3 linked regions of the Drosophila melanogaster genome follow. Changing the gene in region 2 together with the main gene of any one other region gives a genetic interaction. Each region holds a gene or a part of one and is shown on either strand. Other genes may lie near its edges. The genes, in order: AMPKalpha, Zw and ND-23.

Region 1 (6,486 bases), about 18 Mb from region 2:
TTGCGATGGCCAGGAACGGCAGCAGGCAACGATGACCTTGTGCGCTGGCCTACGTGCTTGGGTTTGGGATACTTGGGAGGAGCAAGGGGTGCAGGCAGGGGAAGGGGACGAATCCACCCCATGACGTACTTGGCCGTGGACCCGTCCATAGATACAAACATATGTGTGCGCACACTCGCCTCAGTTCTGTTTTCAATTTTGTTTTCGGCCTGTGCTCGTGTATGCAAATGAGCCCCAAAACATTGGATACCGGTTTAAACCCCTTTCAGCCAGCCGCTGCGTCCGCGAAGAAACGGGAGCCAGCTGCAGAAGACCCTTCAGCATATCGCTCCATGGCCGAGTTATCAATTGCAGTTGGATTAGGCGAGATAAGAGAAACGTGAGTCACACACACACACACATTTTGTAGCCTCCCAAGTGACCACCCCGCAATCTCAGAGTAGACGGAATTTAAAACTACTAATATAGCAGACACTGGCTACAATTGTATGAATCACTCACTATATGAAAACTGCAGTATTCTGCCGCAAATCAATCTCGATAGTCACCCCGGCAGCCGCAGGTCCATCTCCCCTTTTTAGCTATGACGTTATGCCTATAAGTGGCATAATCTGGCATACTCGACGTTGTGGTGACGTTATGGGGATGACAATGAGGTGTTTTGTTAGTTCCGAGCAAAGCACTCCAATTTTAAAGTCTGTTCAACCACCACCTATGTATTATGCCTTGTTCCGCAGGTGATCAACAGCGACAACCCGGTGATCGTGAACTTCCACGCCGAGTGGTGCGACCCCTGTAAGATACTCACGCCCAAGATGCTCGAGCTGCTTGAGAACTCGAACGAGATCGACCTGGCGGTCATCGATGTGGAGACGAACCTGGATCTCGTCGAGACCTTCGAGGTGAAGGCCGTGCCCGCTGTTCTGGCCTTCAGGAACGGCGTCGTAGTGGACAAGTTCATTGGTCTGGTCGACGCCAACAGCATCGAGACCCTAATCGACAAACTGAAGCGGAAGCAACAGCAGAAGCAGTAGTGAGCTGGAGCGGCGATGCGATGCACAGGTGGATTAGATCAGGGATGCTATGATTTTACACACGAAACGGGAGACTGGAACTGCGATATGAAGCCCAATGCCGAGGCAGAATTTGCAATCATCGATGCTGAAAGAATGTGCACAACATACCTTAATATGCAATAAAACTAACTTTAATTATGGCTACTCTTAATTCACACTTCGTCCACAATCGATTTAGAATATTAATGGATCGCTTTATTGTTTGGTTGGTTCAGATACAGATACATAAAACTTGGTCCACATCTGGTTGTTATCTGACAGCTTCCCCAGACGAGGTTCCAATTACAATTCGTTAGGCATAATACAAATACATCCACGTGCACATGCGGTTTGGATAATAACTCAACTTGCTTATAAACATAAATCGAAATAGAAACAGAACAGAACAGAAACGGATCGAAGCCCGCCGACCGGGCGGAACCTACAGACTTAGACTAACCGGAAGCGGAAATCGATACGGCAAAGCGGGTAACGGTAGCGTAGCGGCAACGGCGGTTGGCGGTGTCCGAGTTCAATAACATTTTATGTGGATTACACAGCCGCACAAAGAAAAGCTGGAGTCGGAGTCCCAAGCTCTTGTTCGTCGTCTAGTAGCAGGCCATTTTTAAAATCTATTCCCAAATCCTGCTACCGATAATTGCACATTGGGTTTCCGATTAAAATCAAAAGGGTTTGGGACGAATGCAAGAACTTAGTCATGTGGTTAAGGCCAGACTCCGGGATCCGCGGAGCCCGAAACTCCCCCCAGCTTTCCTTTGTGGGACTGTGTCTTCCGGGTAATGGTCAATCCTCAGGACTGTCCGAGTGCGGATCGCCAGCCGAGAAGATCCCATCCGGTCCGCTGCGGCCGATGGCGGTCACCTCATCCTTAGCGAGCCAGTTGAATGATCAGGGCGGCGCACATTTCGAAAAACTCCATGGTGTGGTGGCCGGTCGGCTGCAGCGGCATCACCCCGGACACGCTAAGCGGCGGCGGAGTAAGGCTCTCCATGATGACGTCGTCGCCCTGCTCGACCTCGTCGTTGGTCAGCGACTTGAAGTCGAGCAGATAGCTCTTGGCGTCCACCTGGTACAGCTGCAGTGACATCTTCGAGAACTTGCCGGTCTTCACGTTCTGCCTGCGCACCCGAACGTGGTACGGATTGATGATCTTCCACTCGTAGCTGAGTGCCTTCATCGCTCGGTATACCTCGAGCATTATGTCGTTGGGCTTGCTCTGCGACCGGATGCCCAGATGCCACTTGGCGCGCTTGATGGGAGTGCCGCCACGTGCGGTTTTCTCCGGGAAGGCTCCGCCGCCAGATGTCTGCACGGACATGGCCAGTTGACGGTCCCGCATCGGCGCAATCCGCTCCGGATGCGGTCGAATGGGTATGGTGCTGCTAGGCGTGCCTCCAGCCACTGGTGGCACTGGTGTGGCGGTGCCCGAGCTGGCTGAGGTACCTCCGCCAACGGTCACGGTGGCCAGAGGGGCTTGGTGGTCCATCGATGATTGGGGAACGGGCGGAGGCGGCGGCGGTGGTGGAGAGCCGGCCACAAAGAAGTTGTTGATCTCGTTTATTTGGTTGGCCGCGTCGTCGGCGAAGCGTTTGTTGTCGATGATCAGATGGTAAGCGATGGCCAGCTGATCGTGCGGATCGCCGCTGAGCAGCGAGTTGTGCACCTCGGTCTCCTTGACGCCGAACTTGGTGCAGACCTCTGCCACAGCGTAGGTGTCGATCACATTGGAGTCCTGCTCGATGGACGAGGGGAAGAGGTAGGCCGGGAGGTCCTTTTGGAACCACTCGTGCTTCTTGATTTCCTCGATGTTGGCCCGCTTGAGCGGGTCCACTTGCAGCATCTGACAGACCAGATTGACCACTTGTTTGTTGAGGTACTCGGGAATGGGGAAAATGCCCGACTTGATCTTGCGAAACAGCGTAGGCACATGCTCGTCGTCAAAGGGCAGCGTCCCGCACAGCAGGGCGTACAGGATGACGCCGCACGACCAGATGTCCACCTCGGGACCGGCGTACAGCTTGCCGGAAATCACCTCGGGCGCCGCGTAGTTGGGCGAGCCGCACGAGGTGCGCAGGAACTCGCCGTCCAGCATCATGTTCGAGAGCCCAAAGTCGGCGATCTTCACGTGCATGTTGTGGTCGAGCAGCAGGTTCTCTGGCTTCAGGTCTCGATGCACGATCATGTGCCGGTGGCAATAGTCCACGCCAGAGATAATCTGCTGAAAAAAGCGGCGCGCTTGGTGCTCCTGCAGCTTGCCGTGCTTCACAATATAGTCGAACAGCTCCCCGCCGCTCACGTACTCCATGATCATGAAGATGTCCGACGGCGTCGATATGACCTTCGGAGAGTTACGGAAAGGTTAGCAAGCACGTTTATATCAGCTGATGACTGCAGCCGTCCCTAGGTTCCCCCAAGCCCTGCCTAACCTAATTGGTAACTGATCCAATCCGAAAATCGAGGGAAAATGTGCTTGTAAAACCAAAGCAGACCCCGTACATATTCCTTTTATAAACTTTCCTTCCAAACTTTTTGCTCATTTAAGTTGGGCTTCTATGTCTGTTGCGAATGTCTAGCCAGTGGCCCAGTTTCTAGATATGCATTTGCCTTCCGCAACAAAATTCGGATGACTAGGCATGACCGTGTACTTTATAGATAAACAAACCTCCAAAATGTTGTTATAGAAAAGCTATTCCCCCTTCGGGCATATCCTGCCTTTTTGTTTATTAAACTGCGGCTTGATTGTTTGTTATTAGTAGCTGGCCAGCGTAATTGGAAGAGGAAACCAGTAACCCAGTTTCCTGGAAAGCTTGGACTTAGAAAGTCTAAGCTTGGAGCCATGAACTCACCTGGTACAACTTGATGATGTGCGGATGGCGGAAGAGCTTTAGGTTCTGGATCTCACGCCGGATCTTGCCCACGACGTCCAGGCTTTTGATCTTCTGACGATTGAGTATCTTGACGGCCACCTTGACGCGTGTGATCTGGTGCTCGCCGATCTTCACCTTGCCGAAGGTTCCCGTTCCCAGGGTTGCGCCCAGTAGGTAGTGCCCAATCTTGACCAGCGGCTGGCCATTGGCGCTGCCGGCGGCCACCGCCTCAGCGGCCGCAGCCCTCATCTGGGGCATCTCGAGCAGGTAGCTCCTTGTTGGACTGGGGGTGCTCCACTGCTCCGCTGCGGATGGGCGCGGAGAGGGGAGCGGTGGTAAGGTCGTTATCGGTTATTGCGTAGTGTACTCCGCTGAATCAACAGAATAGAATAGAATAGAGCAGCCACTCACGTTACGTTCTTCCTGCCAGCCGTGCCACCTCGCCCGGATACGGATTCGGATGTCAAAGTGGTTGTGGATGTGTCAAGGGCGGTTGAATTGATACTGATTTCCTGGATTTCTATTCGAGCGCGGCAACGAGACTCTCCTTTACGCTTGGGTTTTCTTCGCGTTTTGCTTATTTAATTGACATTGGAAGGCGCTGCCACTTCCAACAACACTGCCTTCCAACAACACTCGTTCCAGCAGCTGATTCGCGCCCTCTCTTTCTCTCTCTCTCTCGCCTTCCAGTGGCTATCGATAAGTGGCGGCCAGTGATGCCAGGTAGTTCCGCAGTGGCGCGCAATTTAAAACCATCTTGCCACTTATGCTGAATTTATAAAAAGCAATATTAATGGCTTTACTCAACCACATTTGAAATAGTTAAGCTCGCAAAAAAACTAGTAGGTGTGCGTTGTCGAAACTCTCTGATGTCCAATTGAAAGGGAAAAGATGCCCGTTTTGTGATTTAAATACACATTTATTACACCAAGTTGATTTTTTGGATCCACTCCACGCGCATAGAAGGTCAGAAAGATACCTCTTTTGTGCAACGTTAAGTGTAGATCAACATTCAATATAGATTATCAAGAATACTGTCCTAAAATTCTCAAAGATGTATGGTAAAATTCAGTTTGTTCACAAATATGCGTGTATATGTCAAGCTTTGTATTTTTCTTTTTTAGTTTCTGTAGTAAAAGGCTGCCACAGCTTCTTGTTTTCACCTGTCAAATAGAACCGCTTAATGACTAGTATATAATGTTCGTGTAAATGCGTTTTTACGACGATCAGGATTCAGCTAAGCGAAAATTGAACATTTTAACTATTTATTTGCTTAGCCTAACATCAATTTACAACAATAGTATATCGTCAACTTAAGCTCTGATCCGCACTGTACTGTGCTGACTGTACCTCAAATCTGTATCATCTCTCTCGCTCTCTTTCGCTGAGGCTGCATCGCACCATCTCGCTCGCAGACTCAAGAATTCAATTTGTGTTCGTTTATTATAAACTTTAGGATTTAAGGTTTAAATACATGTATTTCTTTCGTGCTTTAAGTTTATTCTGAAAAAAAAGTCACCTTAACTATGATATTGCTACGAGACTAGGATTTACGTTTAGAGATTATCAATACTAAAAAAAAAAAATTTCGGACCTCTGGGTCTCACGGGTATGCTGGTTGGAAAATTTCAAGTTTATTTCATATTCAGCCATCTTCTTGTCGGGTTTCTGTTGGAAGTTTACCCGAAGTTCGGGTATTTATACATCATTCATATATATTATCTAATATATAGGTGTTTGTATAGTGTGGTGTTCTTGTTCTTGGTTTGTTGGTAGTACATCAATAATTTATTTATAATGTAGTAAAAAGCAAGTGACGCGAACGAACCCTCGCTGTCGACGTTCCTTATAAGTCTACAAATTAACCATCTATTCAGAGCAAGCGTCTTCTGTCTGTTGTCATAAGGTTCGTCTCTCTATATATCCGTGTGTGTAACGTCCGTCTCACAGTGTCCGGCCGGAATAGTCGCCACATCTTGGGGCTTTGCATCCGTGCAGTTACTCAATTCATTTACAATTCGCAATCCACCAAGAGCGAAGATTGTTTCGTGAACTGGAGATGAGTGCAGGAAAGTTATATTTGAGTTTTGGTTGCGTTCTCGTCTCGTCTTGAGTGGCTGATGGTTTGCGTTTGGGGCTTTGTATGTTGCTCATACAAACTCATTGGAATTTTTTCTTATGTGGTTCGATCAAGGATTCGACTCCGACCGTCTTTATGTGTGTGTGTGTGTGTGTTGTTGGGGATTGTGTAGGCTGGTTAACTTTGGAACATTATTTCGTACATCTTAATACACGCTATGCATCTTTAATTTGCTCTGCTTAATTCTGTGATAGTGTTCTTGTGGTACTGCCTATGTCTGCCGTGCACCTTTGCTTTGCCTCTTGCTGCCAATGCTTGGATTTGCTATTCCTGGCCAGTGTGGTTTCGGGTTATATCGTATGGTCTCAACCAATCCTGGCTCTCTGATATGGATATACATATATGGATAGCAAGATACATACATACACATAGAGAGCGAGAGAGTTGGCTACTATTGGATATC
Region 2 (8,426 bases):
CAAGGGCCGGAGGAGCTGGGAAACTTCACTGGCTACATAGTCTATTGGTGCAAGCTATCCAGCAAAGTGCACGATGCCTGCGACGATAGTTCCTCCATCGAGACGACCTACGCCCGCGAGACGGCGTACAATTTCTCCGGAATCCAGGGCGTGATCCGGATGGCTGTGGCGGCCAACTACAGCGACGGCCTGACCACCGGGATGCGCTGGTGGTCCGGTGACAGCGAGGTGCCCGAGAAGCCAAAGATCTTGCGGTACGTGGAGGGCACCATCGCTCTGCTGGTGCTTGGGTCGCTCGTCTTGGCCATTCAGAAGCTGCGCCAAATGGCGGACATCCGGGTTGAACTGCCAGTGATGAGCGAAGAGCCCACAGCAAATCCACTTGGCGATGTACGCCTGTTCTATCCCGCCAATGTTCCGCCGGAGAAGTTCTACGGCACAGTGCGCAAAACCGTGACATTTGCGGAAGAGGAGCCCACGAGGTGGCCGGAGATAGAGCTGCAGGAGGTGCCCAGACCACAGCCCGTGCCCCAGGCCGATGCGTACGTAACCAATCAGTATGTGTCCATGAGCGCAATAGGCGCGCCCTGCGGCGATGGGTACATCAAGCCGCCACCCGTGCGCTGAAATCTCTCGGGAAGATTGCTGCCCGCTCTTGTTGTAGTTCGCCTGTAAATCTATATTCGAGAGGAGCCGCTAGTAACTAGCCCGGCTCAGCACCGAAGCCCACTGACCAGAAGCATACTCATTATTTAGTTAGTATTACAACCGTAGGGTTACGTTTGCCACCCATCTGCCATCCTATGAAGGATCTATTTATGTACATCGACACGCATGCGATCGGCATCACCACATACACATCGAACTAGCCGGGATTATGAGTTAGAAGATCGTTCTGCTCCAGCTAAACACTATTTTGTATATTTAATAAAAAAAAATCTTGTACAGACCGAATTACAAATAACCAAAGAATGCATATATGTATATATACATATATATGTATGTATGTACATGTACGTGCGGACAGAGAGGAGTATCCTGCGAACCCAGCCCGGGGATTGGTGTGCTCCAAACGCTCAGTGATTGGACGTGGCCGCCTTGCCGCCGTGCCACTTGTAGGAGCCGGAGTACTTGAAATTGTTCTCCTCGCACTTGCGGTCCGCCTCCTTGGGACCGCGCGATCCGTACTGGTAGGTGATTGGCCGAATGTGCTCCTTCTCGATCTGGTGCAGAATGGGCGTAAATATGCGCCACGCCTCGCGCAGCTCGTCCGAGCGGACGAAGTGCATCTGGGAGCCGCAGAAGACGTCGAGGATGAGACGCTCGTACGCGTCCGGCAGGTAGGAGTCCTTGTAGCGGTGCTCGTAGGTGAGGTCCAGCTCCGTCTCCTCGATGTCGAACGTGATGCCGGGGCTCTTGGTCATCATCTTAAAGTACAGGGCCTCGCCCGGCTGGACGCGGATGACCAGCTCGTTGCGCTTCGTATTGCCCTCGAAGATGTCGCCGGGCACGTCCTGGTACTGGATACGCACCTCCGCCTTGCGCTCGTTCAGCGCCTTGCCGCAGCGCAGGATGAAGGGCACTCCCTGCCAGCGCTCGTTGTTGATCTTGAGCACGCCGAGGGCGTAGGTGGGCGTGTTCGAATCGTTGCTAACGGTGGGGTCCTCCACGTAGCCCGTGCGCGCATCATCGTTTGTACCCTGCGGATTGCCCAGGTACTGGCCCAGCACCATGTCATCCAGCGTCAGGGCCTCGATGCTCTTCAGCACCTTGACCTTCTCGTCACGAATGTCGTCCGGGTGGCAGCTCACCGGCTTCTCCATGGCCACCAGCGAGAGGATCTGCAGCAGATGGTTCTGCATCACGTCGCGTATGATGCCGAACTCGTCGAAGTAGCCGCCACGACCCTGCGTGCCGAAGGGCTCCTTGAACGTGATCAGCACGGAGGCGATGTTCTCGCGGTTCCACGTCGAGCTGAGGATCTTGTTGCCGAAGCGTATGGTCATCAGGTTCTGCACCATCTCCTTGCCCAGGTAGTGATCGATGCGGTACAGCTGATCCTCCTGGAACAGACCGGCCAGATGGTCGCTCAGCGCCTGCGAGGAGGCGTCATCCCGGCCGAAAGGCTTCTCGATAATCACGCGGTTCCAACCGCTGCAAGCGAACGGGTTATAGGTGTACATAAGTATCGGGTTTCAAATTAAATGCATCTGGATCTTGATCTTGATCTTATACTCACCAGACCGACATGCAGATCTGCTTGATGTTGACAGTCACCTCCTCGAAGACGCTGGGCGGCAGGGCCAGATAGAAGATGCGGTTGGCCTTGTTCTTGTTCTCCATAATCTCCAGCTGCTGGTTAAGCAGCTCGAAGCCAGTGCGTCCGTCATATCTGCCGGACACGTACTCATTGAGGGCCCAGAACTCCTCGTACTTCTTCTGCTCGTGCGGCTGGACCTGTGTGGCAATGGGTTGGGTTAATGCGATGCAAATGGCCTATGACCAAATCCCGAACGCACCTTCATGTACGGCAGACACTGCTCCTTGATGCTATCGACGGTCAGCATGGAACGGGCATAGCCGCAGAACTTGGTCGGCTTGGGCAGCAGGTCATCGCGGTAGAGCCACCAGAGCGTGGGGTAGATCTTCTTCTTGGCCAGATCGCCCGACGCCCCAAAGATGACGAACGTGTGCGGAATCTTGCCGTCAAAGTGGGTTCCCTCGCAGACCATTGTAGGCGACTTGAGTGACTTGATTATGAGATCCAGGGCGGTGTGATCTGTGGGCACATATGAAAGGCGGATCTGGTTAGGCTTACTCTGGCTTTGAATTCCACTTAAGACTATTACTCTGTGGCTCTGTGGATATCCAGGAATTTCTACTTGTTTTTTTCACTAAGTAACTTTTTTCAACTGTCAAAACTTTATCAAAGGGAACTAAATGAACTAGAAATAGTTATAGCTTCCTTAAATGCATTGCTTTTACTGCTAAACTATAAAGTGAGAATGGTATAGGGGTTCTCTACTTCTTAGTTGTTAGTTGCACAGTGAGAAAAACAAAAAAAATGCTATCAGCTTTAGGATGTGCGGGAATTTTCAGTGACCTTGCCCTTTGGCTTGCATAGATCACCGGGGGACTCATCGACTCCGTATGGTTGGTGATTGGTTGGTCAGAATGAGCTGCGTGAGGACTCACCGAGGGCCTGGAGGCAACTGATGGTCTGGGCCCGAATGCAGACTATTTGAAGGCCTATTCAATGTCAAGGGAAGGGGGAGCGATAAGCACTCGATAAGACCGGGGTCCGTTGTCTAATCAACTCCGATCCGATCCGATCCGATTCGATTCGATTCGATTCGATTCGATCCCGATGACTGGCCAAAGAATCCGCCAGAGGTCAACCTCCGCAGCGGGCGCTAATTGATGCCCGGATAGCTGTGGGCTGGGCCAGGTGGAACTGGGTTAGGTGGCGGAAGCTTGGCCAGGTGTAAAAGGTGGAGCAGGTGCACGCGCGTATCTTCCGATGCGGTTGCACAAAACGAATAAATCGCCGCGCTGCGGTCGACTTTAACAAGGTGTAAGCGATGAACCCGGCAGCGACGTCGACGGCGAGGCGAACTTGGGCACAAAGTGCAAGCCAAGTGCTCCGGACGTATGTATGTACATACATCACTATTCACCGTATATCCAAACTTGGCTTCGGAACGGGCAGCATCAGTCGATCGCGTGGCGGGAATGCGATCGGTCGGATGATCAGATGAACCCACGATGGCATCACTTCCCGCACAGATCGGAAGAGATTACAGTGTTGTATGCTTAATGGATGATATATACTTGATCTGCTGCTATGTGATCTACTAGGGATACTGTTCTTGCAAACTAGTAACTAGCCTTTAGTAAACCTCTGTAGTATATCTCTAAAAATAACTACGAGTATGTAGATAGACTTTTTCAAAAGTTCAAAAATCTCAAAATCTTGAAAACCTAAAGCTCCCCGATTTTGAATGTGTGCACGTTCGTATCTTAGAGGTCATAGGAAAATCATTCGGAAAATGTTTCAAAAAGGTTGTGAGCCAATAATGGAGGCACTGTCGCGGTGTCATAACATAGATTTCGATATAATGAGCTTTTGGAAAATGAATGGAGGAGGGGCACTGCGTTCGTTTTTGAGAATCATTGTGTGTCGTTTAAAAAGGGTTGCGAGCCACTAATGCAGGCACTGTCACGGTGTCATAAAATATAGATTTCGATAATATGAGCTTCTGGAAACATCATGGGGCACTGCGTTCGTTTTTGAGAATCATTGTGAGTCGTTTAAATGTCGAAGTGGATGGGTCTCGGTGAATCACGTGATTCTACGGCGGGCTACCTGGGCTCTCCGAAGATATGAGTTGAGCTGGAATTTAACCCTAATTCCGAGGCCGATCTCTGCGAACGCCGGTAATGCATACTTTTCGGCTGTAGGAGCTTCGAAAGATTACACAGCCAGTGAGTTGGATGGTGCTGGTGGATGGATGGATGGTGACTAAGAGGCTAGCGAGCTCCTTCAAATGCCGAGATTGTGAGTCACAAGCCGACAGTGGTGTTTGCCTAGCAGGAACATAAATGACTTTAACCTTTTTTTTGAGTTTGCCATATGTCTTAATTTCCCGTTTGTTTTGCCTTGCTTGCTCAAGTCTTCGCATTTTTGCTTGACTCAGCTTGGTTTCACTTATCGAAGCTCGACTGTAATCTCGGCCGCATCGCATTTGACATTGACACAGACGAAGCGAAGGCATTGGGGCAAGGAGAATGGAGATTGGAGAATGGAGAGCAGCCGAATGTAGAGGGCGAGTGGAGAAGGGAGAAAGTAATAGGCGGTGAGCAAGGTAACGCGTTTGAATATTATTAACGCCAAGCGAGTTTGCATTTGTTGTCCGCTGTTGTTTTTGTTTTCTTTTTTTTTTTTTTGGTTTCTGTTTGGAAAGGCTTCTCGTGTAGAACGCAGGTGGGCAGCTAATTAACCGTGCGTAGAATGTACACATGCATGCGTTCCAATGTCATTGCCACAGAGTGGAGAACGGAGATTGGGGACTGGGGACTGGAGAGTTCGCGCTGCCGCCAAAGGTTATTGCTATTGCCGGGTTCTAATCTTGGAGCACGCAGCGAGTGTTTGTTTTAGCTGGCCGCTCGGATCCAAGCCCGTCCGATGGCCAAGAGCGGCGCCCACACGTCATCGCTCGGCTGGATGGGTAGTTGGGGGAGTGAGTAGTAGGCGTGGAGGAGTGAGAGTAAGAGTGACAGGTGGAGAGTGGCCAGTGGTAGTGGAGAGTGGAAGTATGAAAGTATGATAGAGAGCGGTGCGGGTGCGGGAGCGGAGCAGCGGTGTGGCCTCTCCTGTGATAAGAAGACAGTCGGCCGAGTCCGCGTCCTCTGCTTTTTGTAGGTGACCCCCAGTGCCAGGCGAAGAGCACATTTGAAGGGCGCACTGGCACGGGCACTGGCACTGGCACTGGCTCTCGCACTCGCAATCGGATTCCGATTGGAAAGCCAGTCCACCTGGCGCGACAGTGATCGCGGCAAGTACGCGCCCGAAAATCGAATTGGTAACAGTACGCGGTGTGGAATCCAATTCGATACCAATTGCCCAAAGCTGCGATACTCACCTTCCTTTTGCGTTGCCATCTTGACCCGAATGTGAATGGATTTTTCTGTTTAAAAGCAAAAGTGTGACAACTATGTATACGCAAGCCTTTCGATTCGGATTTCCAACTCGATATACGATTTCTCCAGTCGCTGGATTTTGAGCAACCTCTGCGGCTCTGGCTGTGTAATTACAAAGAGTTGCGGCGCTTTAATCGCACGCGCAGGTCGTCGTCGTCGGATTCACTAACTAGTAGCGCAAACGTAAAACAAAGCGAGTACGGGTACGGAGTCGCGAAGCCTCGGTGGAAGCGGTAGTAGTAATGAAGATAAGCACGATCGTTCCCTGACTGACTGAAGCGCGGCGCGAACCGCCGCAGCAAACAAACGCCCAAGCAAGCACTGCCAATGGCAACAACACCAACACACCAGCAACAACAGCTAAAGCAGCAGACGCTTTGTAACCCCGACTGCGCAGCTGATCGCAGACAGGAGCGGATTCAGTGCGCGCGGGGGCCCATTCGATCTGGATTTACATGTGAATGGAATTGATGGATAACACATAAATATACAAATAATACGATATCATAGTATAACATGGAAATAAAACTGTTTAATCTGAGAGCATTGATCTGATGCGTTGATGAGTTTAATGATGAAATTATGCTAGAATTATGATTCCCACATTACTAAACAACACCCTTACAATTTCTAATCCTACCTAGAATCACGTCGTATTTGGTCAGTGAAAACGAGCAAACGTCAACATTTCTTTTTAGAGTTTAAATCATTTATTATTATTCATTAGTCAGTAGGAATCGATCAGTTCCTTCTGAAGTTAACCTAATGTGTAGCTTAAAAGATATTATGGATTCTGTTCCTTAATTATAGTGTATACAAATGTACCGAGGAGAGATTATGCTATATTACGTGTAAGGAGTTCATGGGGATGTATTCTCTTCAGACATCGGAGGGAAATAGGGTCGACAAGATCATTCGCTAACGTGTTTAAGTGGGCGCTAAGTCTGTCGGCATATCGGCTGCTATGGAAGTTTATTTGGTACCCCAATGGGACACCTTTTAAGTCCCCTTCAATAACTCTATTGCTCACATACCACATGTAGCCCAGATGCATGTCGTGCCGCTCCCGATTGTCTTACTCTAATACTCTGTTCCCCACACTTGGATATGGCTTTTATTAAGAGAGCCTTAGTTGCCATATGGAGTTTGCTTGAGTGGAAAACCCAGTCCAGCTTTTTCAGTTTCCAGGAGCCGTGATAAGGGCTTTCCAACTCAGCGTCCGATCAAGGTGAACTCCGAGGTAGCAGTGGGATGAGACGTAATCAATGGTATTTCCGTCGAAGAGAAGACCTAGGCAGGTTTGAGGTCGCAGGGTAAATGTGACACAGGCCGTCAACAAGAAACCGGCATAAATTGGCGTGCACTTTTATTCCAATCCTTAGTGAACACAACTCCCCTGTTGTTTATTTTCTATTGCAAGCTAGCGCCCGTTGCGGGCCTTTGCCTTTGGTTTAAAACGCACAGCCCCAACCAAGGTCGGTCGGGTTTGCCCTGTCTGAACAATTGGTAAAACTGTGTAAAATTAAAAAACGCGGCCCCTGCCCGCGAGGGCCCAGACCGTTCCGCCCCTGTGTGGCTCTCTGGCGTGCATGCTCATTCACACAATCACGATGCGAGATTTCACTTTATGTGAATCGAATCCGAATCTGAGTCCGAATCGGACTCAAAGCCGGGCGAAGAGAGCGGCAGAGCGGCCGAACGGGAGAACGGGTCGGAGTCAGATGGTCGGCGCCTTCGCCAGCTGAGGGAAGCGAGAGCCTGTGATAAGACCCCCAGTCGACGGGCGAAATTACAAGGAATACGGACACGTACACATACTACTACAGGGGTTTTGGGGGGCAGCCGTGTGGAAATGGTCGTCATTGGTTGTGTGTTATATTCCAATTCATTAGCCAGTTGCTTGCATGTGTGGTGTTGATGTGGATTACGAATCAGGTGTTTGGAGTATGCGAGTGTGTGGGTGCTGGTCGTTGTTGGATGTGCTTTCGCTGCAGCGATGGCCCCTCTCTATTTACAGTATTCTTATATGCTAGGCTACCAATCCGGAACCCAGGATCCGCACGCGCTGCGCGCAATGCCCGACGTCCTATGCTCTGCGATCGCAGCCCCTGGGGTACAAGATCGAGTGACTCGGCTGGAGCGCGTCGGGGCTACGGGAGTCTGGTGTTGGTGCTGGAGCTGGACACGAACTGTTAGCAGACGTCGGTCGTCAGTAGAAGAGCACCGAGTGCAGGATGACCCGCTTGCGGCGCTCCTCGAACTCCTGGATCAATTCGTCGATGTCGTTGTCCAGGTCCGTGGACTTGGCCATCTGCAAAGGCACAAGAATCGTTGGGCGAATTGAGGGAATGGACGACAGATGATCATACCATGTTTATCATGTCTGTGATGACAAAGGCGCCCATTAGCGCATCTTCAGCGTTGTCCACCACATCCACGTTGAGAACGTGCACGGGTCGGTTGTCCACGGATTCCATGGACTCCATGTGCATCACCACCAGGTCGTAGACGCGCTCTTCCACAGTGACGATGATGTCGAACTGCTCTTTGGTGTCCTGAAACCGTTCCGGGCACTTCTTTATGCGACGATTGCGGTCGAGCATGTGTAGCAGGCCGTTCTGTGTGTAGCTGTAAACAGGACGAAAGGGCAGGGATTAGCCAACGGTAGGCCGGAAAAACGAATAACTCACAACTCCTTGTCCTTGGACTCCAGGTCGCGGTAGATG
Region 3 (4,337 bases), on a different chromosome or scaffold from region 2:
ACCTGCTTTCGTGACCCCCTGCCAAGCATAAAAATTTCCAAGGGAAAAGGCAATCTTGTAAATTAACTATGCTTTCAGGCCTACCACTCGCAGATCAAGGAAGTGCGCCAGCAGGTGGGCAACATGGCCATCCTGCCGCTGAGGACGCAGGTGCGCGGGCCAGCGCCCAGTGCGAATATTGAGAGCGACATCATTGATGAGTCACTGTACTACTTCAAAGCCAATGTCTTCTTTCGCACGTACGAAATCAAGGTGAGGCCGTAATCCGGGATTCAGAACCATTACCTGGTCACGTGATGGTCATATTGAATCCTTATGCTACTTGCTACTTGAATTCACAAACTATGTTTTACCATTTTCAGTCCGACGTGGATCGCGTGCTCATCTATGTGACGCTCTACATAACAGAGTGCCTCAAGAAGCTCAATCGCTCCACGAGCAAGGCCCAGGGACAGCAGGACATGTACAGCCTGGCCATCTCCAAGTTCGACATTCCCGGCGATGCTGGCTTCCCATTGAACGCCGTCTATGCCAAGCCGCAAACGGCCCAGGATGCGGATCTGATGCGCCAGTACCTGCTGCAGCTGCGCCACGAAACCGGCAACCGGGTACTGGAGAAGGTCTTCAACACCGAGGATGGCAAGCCCAATAAATGGTGGACCTGCTTCGCGAAGAAAAAGTTCATGGAGAAGAGTCTGGCTGGACCTGGACAATAAACAGCTATCCACAATATCTGGTATCTTGTTTTGCTTCTACGACGGGTAAAAATACCCTTCAATTAAGTTTTACTCGCAGCGTGGTCCTAATTTGCAGTATCACTGCCAACGTGTCACAATTAATTAAATTCATTAACCACTAAATAAATTATTTGAATTTGTAAGCCTTTCTGTTTTAATTAATTTATGTAAATTCTTTTTACAAAATTAACGTGGATAAAACTGCAAGTAACTTTCATAAATAATATCTGTTTCTAATAACTGACCAGCAAATGGAAGTTATTGCCTATAATTTGTGTAATCAAAATCGGAATAGTAAAGTATTAACTAAGTTTCATTTATTTGTAGTCGCTCCGTCATTGGAAAAAATGCTTTCTATTGGCCTGTTAATTAAATAAACTTTGTCATCTGTCGAATACAACGTGGAACTCTTTGAATATAAATAATTTATATTTATTAGGCCAGTTGAGTAATTAAAAAAAATACAACTGACTTTCGCTTAAGACGAAGCCACAGCAACGATCTTTAATTGGAAAATCGTTCTAAACAAGGAATTCTAGGGGTACAAGCAACTTTAACGATAGAGATGGTCGGCCTGCAAGTTAGAGGCAATCTCGGACTCCCACTTGTCGCCGTTGCAGAGAAGCTTCTCCTTGTTGTACAGCAGCTCCTCGTGCGTCTCCGTGGAGAACTCGAAGTTGGGTCCCTCGACGATGGCGTCCACGGGACAGGCTTCCTACGCGGGGGGACAAAAAGATGCAATTAGTTTCTAGTAAATTGTGGCGCCACTTTGCTCCTCCTCACCTGACAGAATCCGCAGTAGATGCACTTGGTCATGTCGATATCGTAGCGTGTGGTACGTCTGCTGCCATCCGCGCGCTCCTCCGCTTCGATGGTGATCGCCTGTGCGGGGCAAATAGCCTCGCATAGCTTGCAAGCGATGCAGCGCTCCTCTCCACTGGGATAACGACGAAGGGCATGTTCTCCGCGGAATCGCGGGCTCAGTGGTCCCTTTTCAAAGGGATAGTTGATAGTGGCCGGTTCCTTGAAGATGTGCGCCAGGGTGACGGCAAATCCACGTAAGAGTTCACCGAAGAACATGGTGGATGCAGCACGGTCCGTGATGTCGGCAAACTCCATGCTCAGTTCCTTGTTGTTTACATACACATAGCCCTTGGGAACCTCGACGATATCTTTGGGTTCTGCTCGCTGGGCGGCCAGCAGCCGGGCTCCATGGCTGCCAAACAGGCGCTGTCCTGTGGGGAGAACATTTTACCATTAAATAACATGCTTAAGTCGAAAAGTTATACTGAATTAAGCGAGTTTAGACTTTTGTTTTGGTATGACATAAGCTTACATAACCTCACTCGCCGCGATTTCCACGAAAATGGGAAATTTCCCGGAAAACAACGGATGTGAGGGGATGGGTCGCCACCTACCGTTGCGCGATGCGGTGAAAATTCGCATAGTTAGCGACATTTTTGCGACCAAATTAAACTAAAATTGCCAAAGAAGTTGTTTTGCTATTGAATTTGCCCGAACAAATTAGAGCTGGGTTTCTTTCGATTACCCACATAAATTCAATGCTCAAATATCGTATTCAAATATATCGTAGTTTCTTAATGACATAAACCAAAAATAAAATATGAGATATAAAATATAAATAATGTAACAAAGAATTAAATATTCGTGTAAAAATAATAAATAATATTAACAAATAATCCAGAAAGACTGTGAGAAAAAAAAGAAAACATTTTTTTTATACGAATACCCCTAATAAAAACCTTAAAGCTTCGATAATGGCACTATCGATATAAATTCGCACTTTTACACTTTTCAACATTGACTTTGAAAATCCCCACCACTACAATTTACAGTTTAACTTTTCCCGCTACGCGGAATTGTGAAATTTTTCATTGTTTATGTCGGAAAATGGATCAGGAGGTTATGGATTTCTTTGACTTCTCGAAGGAGTTGAAGCGCGTGGCCGCCGCCCCGCAAGGCTACATCAGCAGCGATCCGAGGCTAATGGCCACGAAGTTCAAATCATCCGAAGTGCCCAACCGCGAGTTGATCGGCACCGACTATGTCAGCAAAATCGTCGCCAAGGAAAAGTGTCTCCTGAACGGGGTGAGAACTGGAAGCTTGCGTCAGCACTTCTGTTTGTTTATGTGTAATTCGATCCAGACGCTGCTCAACGAACAGCCTCAAGGCAAACGCATTCGAACGCTGGACGATTTGGACACCGACGATGAGGGGGAAGAGACCGAAATTCGCCGGGATGACGAGTACTACAAGAAGTTCAGATTCAATCTGAATCGCGACAAGAACTTGTCCATCTACGCCAAGCGCGAGGAAATATTGGCGGCCATCAATGCTCATCCGGTAGTCATTATTAAGGGCGAAACAGGATGTGGCAAGACCACGCAGGTGAGCAAAACTTAAATAAAATCCTAACTTTTTTATTAAGTCTATATTTTAATAAAGCCAACGCAAGCGAATTATAATTAAACCTTTTATCCTCGACTTTTGAAATTCAAATCCAAACTAGTCGAGAGTATTTAATATTATATAATAAATAATAATCTTCAATATACTTTTCAACTCTTTATATAAGAATAGCAAAGCCTAGGAAACTTATATCCTATATAGTTATATATCCTATCCTACATACTTAAATACAATGAATATTTTATGTGCAACAGATAAACAAGATCACATCGCGCAAAAATGCTAGTTATTTAATTATGTAAAAGTTTTATAAACTAACTCAAGTATCCAAAATAGCTTTGAGTTCTTCTTCCGTGACCTCCTCGCTTTCACCCACTTCCATTTCCTCGTCGTCACTAAACTCAATCATCTCATACTCTTGCTGCACGTCTGCTGGAAGTTCCCTCTGAAAAACGGTGGCCGAGGACATGCGGCGTTGATAAGTCTCGTTGACCTCCAGCTGCACTTCTAGTTCATCCGCCTGGTTTTGCGGCTCCCGTTCCTCGACGCCGTACATGGCCTTGTTCCGCACCCTCTGGCGCACTTCCAACTGGTTGCCTGTAGATGTTGTGGTACAATTCTCATCTGGAGTACTCTTTCTAGCTCCTAGAACACTTTGGATATCGGCAAAGACTTCTCGCAAATGGCCGAATATTTGAGAGGGCGGCAAAGCGTGCTCATGACCAGCCGCCAATTGCTTCTTTTGGGCATTGTATGCCGCTTCCAGTTCACACAATGGCTGGCTTGCCTGGTCCAGTGCTCGCAGACCCTCCAGTTCGTATGTGAGACTGACGCCGTTCGCACGCTGTTGCTTCTGCATCAAGGCACTCTGCCTCTGTTCCTTGGCACCCGCTACGGTCTCCACACGGTCGTAGTCCACCAGATTGTCCAACCCCTGGCAATAGTCGAGCGCGGTGAAGCGGAAGGCCTGCTCCTGGGTCAGGCGCCACAGCATGTAGGCGATCTGATGAGTGTCCTTCCGCTCCGGACTATCCTTGCGCAGATCTAGAGCGTAGTCTGTTAGTTCTTGCCAAGTGCGCGGTGAGACCTCGATCTTAATAAAGTTGTGCGTGGGCTGCTTGTAGTAGATTACGTAGAGCAGAAAGAAACCTCCGATCCTTTGAGCGCGAG

The links.
Region 1: of Zw (region 2) and AMPKalpha, changing one suppresses a phenotype caused by changing the other (phenotypic suppression), as found in Drosophila melanogaster (one study listed by BioGRID).
Region 3: of Zw (region 2) and ND-23, changing one suppresses a phenotype caused by changing the other (phenotypic suppression), as found in Drosophila melanogaster (one study listed by BioGRID).

What each region holds. Positions count from the first base shown.
Region 1 is NC_004354.4:1,373,624-1,380,109, reverse strand, and holds AMPKalpha (AMP-activated protein kinase alpha subunit), read right to left. Parts: upstream 4,575-6,486; 5' UTR 4,355-4,574; exon of another isoform or gene 4,241-4,354; 5' UTR 4,202-4,240; coding exon 3,923-4,201; intron 3,415-3,922; coding exon 1,945-3,414; 3' UTR 1,214-1,944; downstream 1-1,213. Other genes in the region: CG3719 (uncharacterized protein), read left to right, coding at 738-1,034.
Region 2 is NC_004354.4:19,664,837-19,673,262, reverse strand, and holds Zw (zwischenferment), read right to left. Parts: upstream 6,012-8,426; 5' UTR 5,662-6,011; coding exon 5,643-5,661; exon of another isoform or gene 5,517-5,642; intron 3,542-5,516; exon of another isoform or gene 3,196-3,541; intron 2,924-3,195; exon of another isoform or gene 2,850-2,923; intron 2,780-2,849; coding exon 2,520-2,779; intron 2,458-2,519; coding exon 2,240-2,457; intron 2,155-2,239; coding exon 1,077-2,154; 3' UTR 910-1,076; downstream 1-909. Other genes in the region: et (eye transformer), read left to right, coding at 1-627; Ssu72 CTD phosphatase, read right to left, coding at 7,910-8,011, 8,070-8,328, 8,391-8,426. UniProt on the Drosophila melanogaster protein: Cytosolic glucose-6-phosphate dehydrogenase that catalyzes the first and rate-limiting step of the oxidative branch within the pentose phosphate pathway/shunt, an alternative route to glycolysis for the dissimilation of carbohydrates and a major source of reducing power and metabolic intermediates for fatty acid and nucleic acid biosynthetic processes.
Region 3 is NT_033777.3:15,834,835-15,839,171, forward strand, and holds ND-23 (NADH dehydrogenase (ubiquinone) 23 kDa subunit), read right to left. Parts: upstream 2,284-4,337; 5' UTR 2,196-2,283; coding exon 2,156-2,195; intron 1,973-2,155; coding exon 1,521-1,972; exon of another isoform or gene 1,453-1,520; coding exon 1,291-1,452; 3' UTR 1,214-1,290; downstream 1-1,213. Other genes in the region: Arpc3A (Actin-related protein 2/3 complex, subunit 3A), read left to right, coding at 79-252, 363-716; spn-E (spindle E), read left to right, coding at 2,649-2,846, 2,904-3,146; Pbp45 (PSEA-binding protein 45kD), read right to left, coding at 3,487-4,337. UniProt on the Drosophila melanogaster protein: Core subunit of the mitochondrial membrane respiratory chain NADH dehydrogenase (Complex I) that is believed to belong to the minimal assembly required for catalysis. Complex I functions in the transfer of electrons from NADH to the respiratory chain.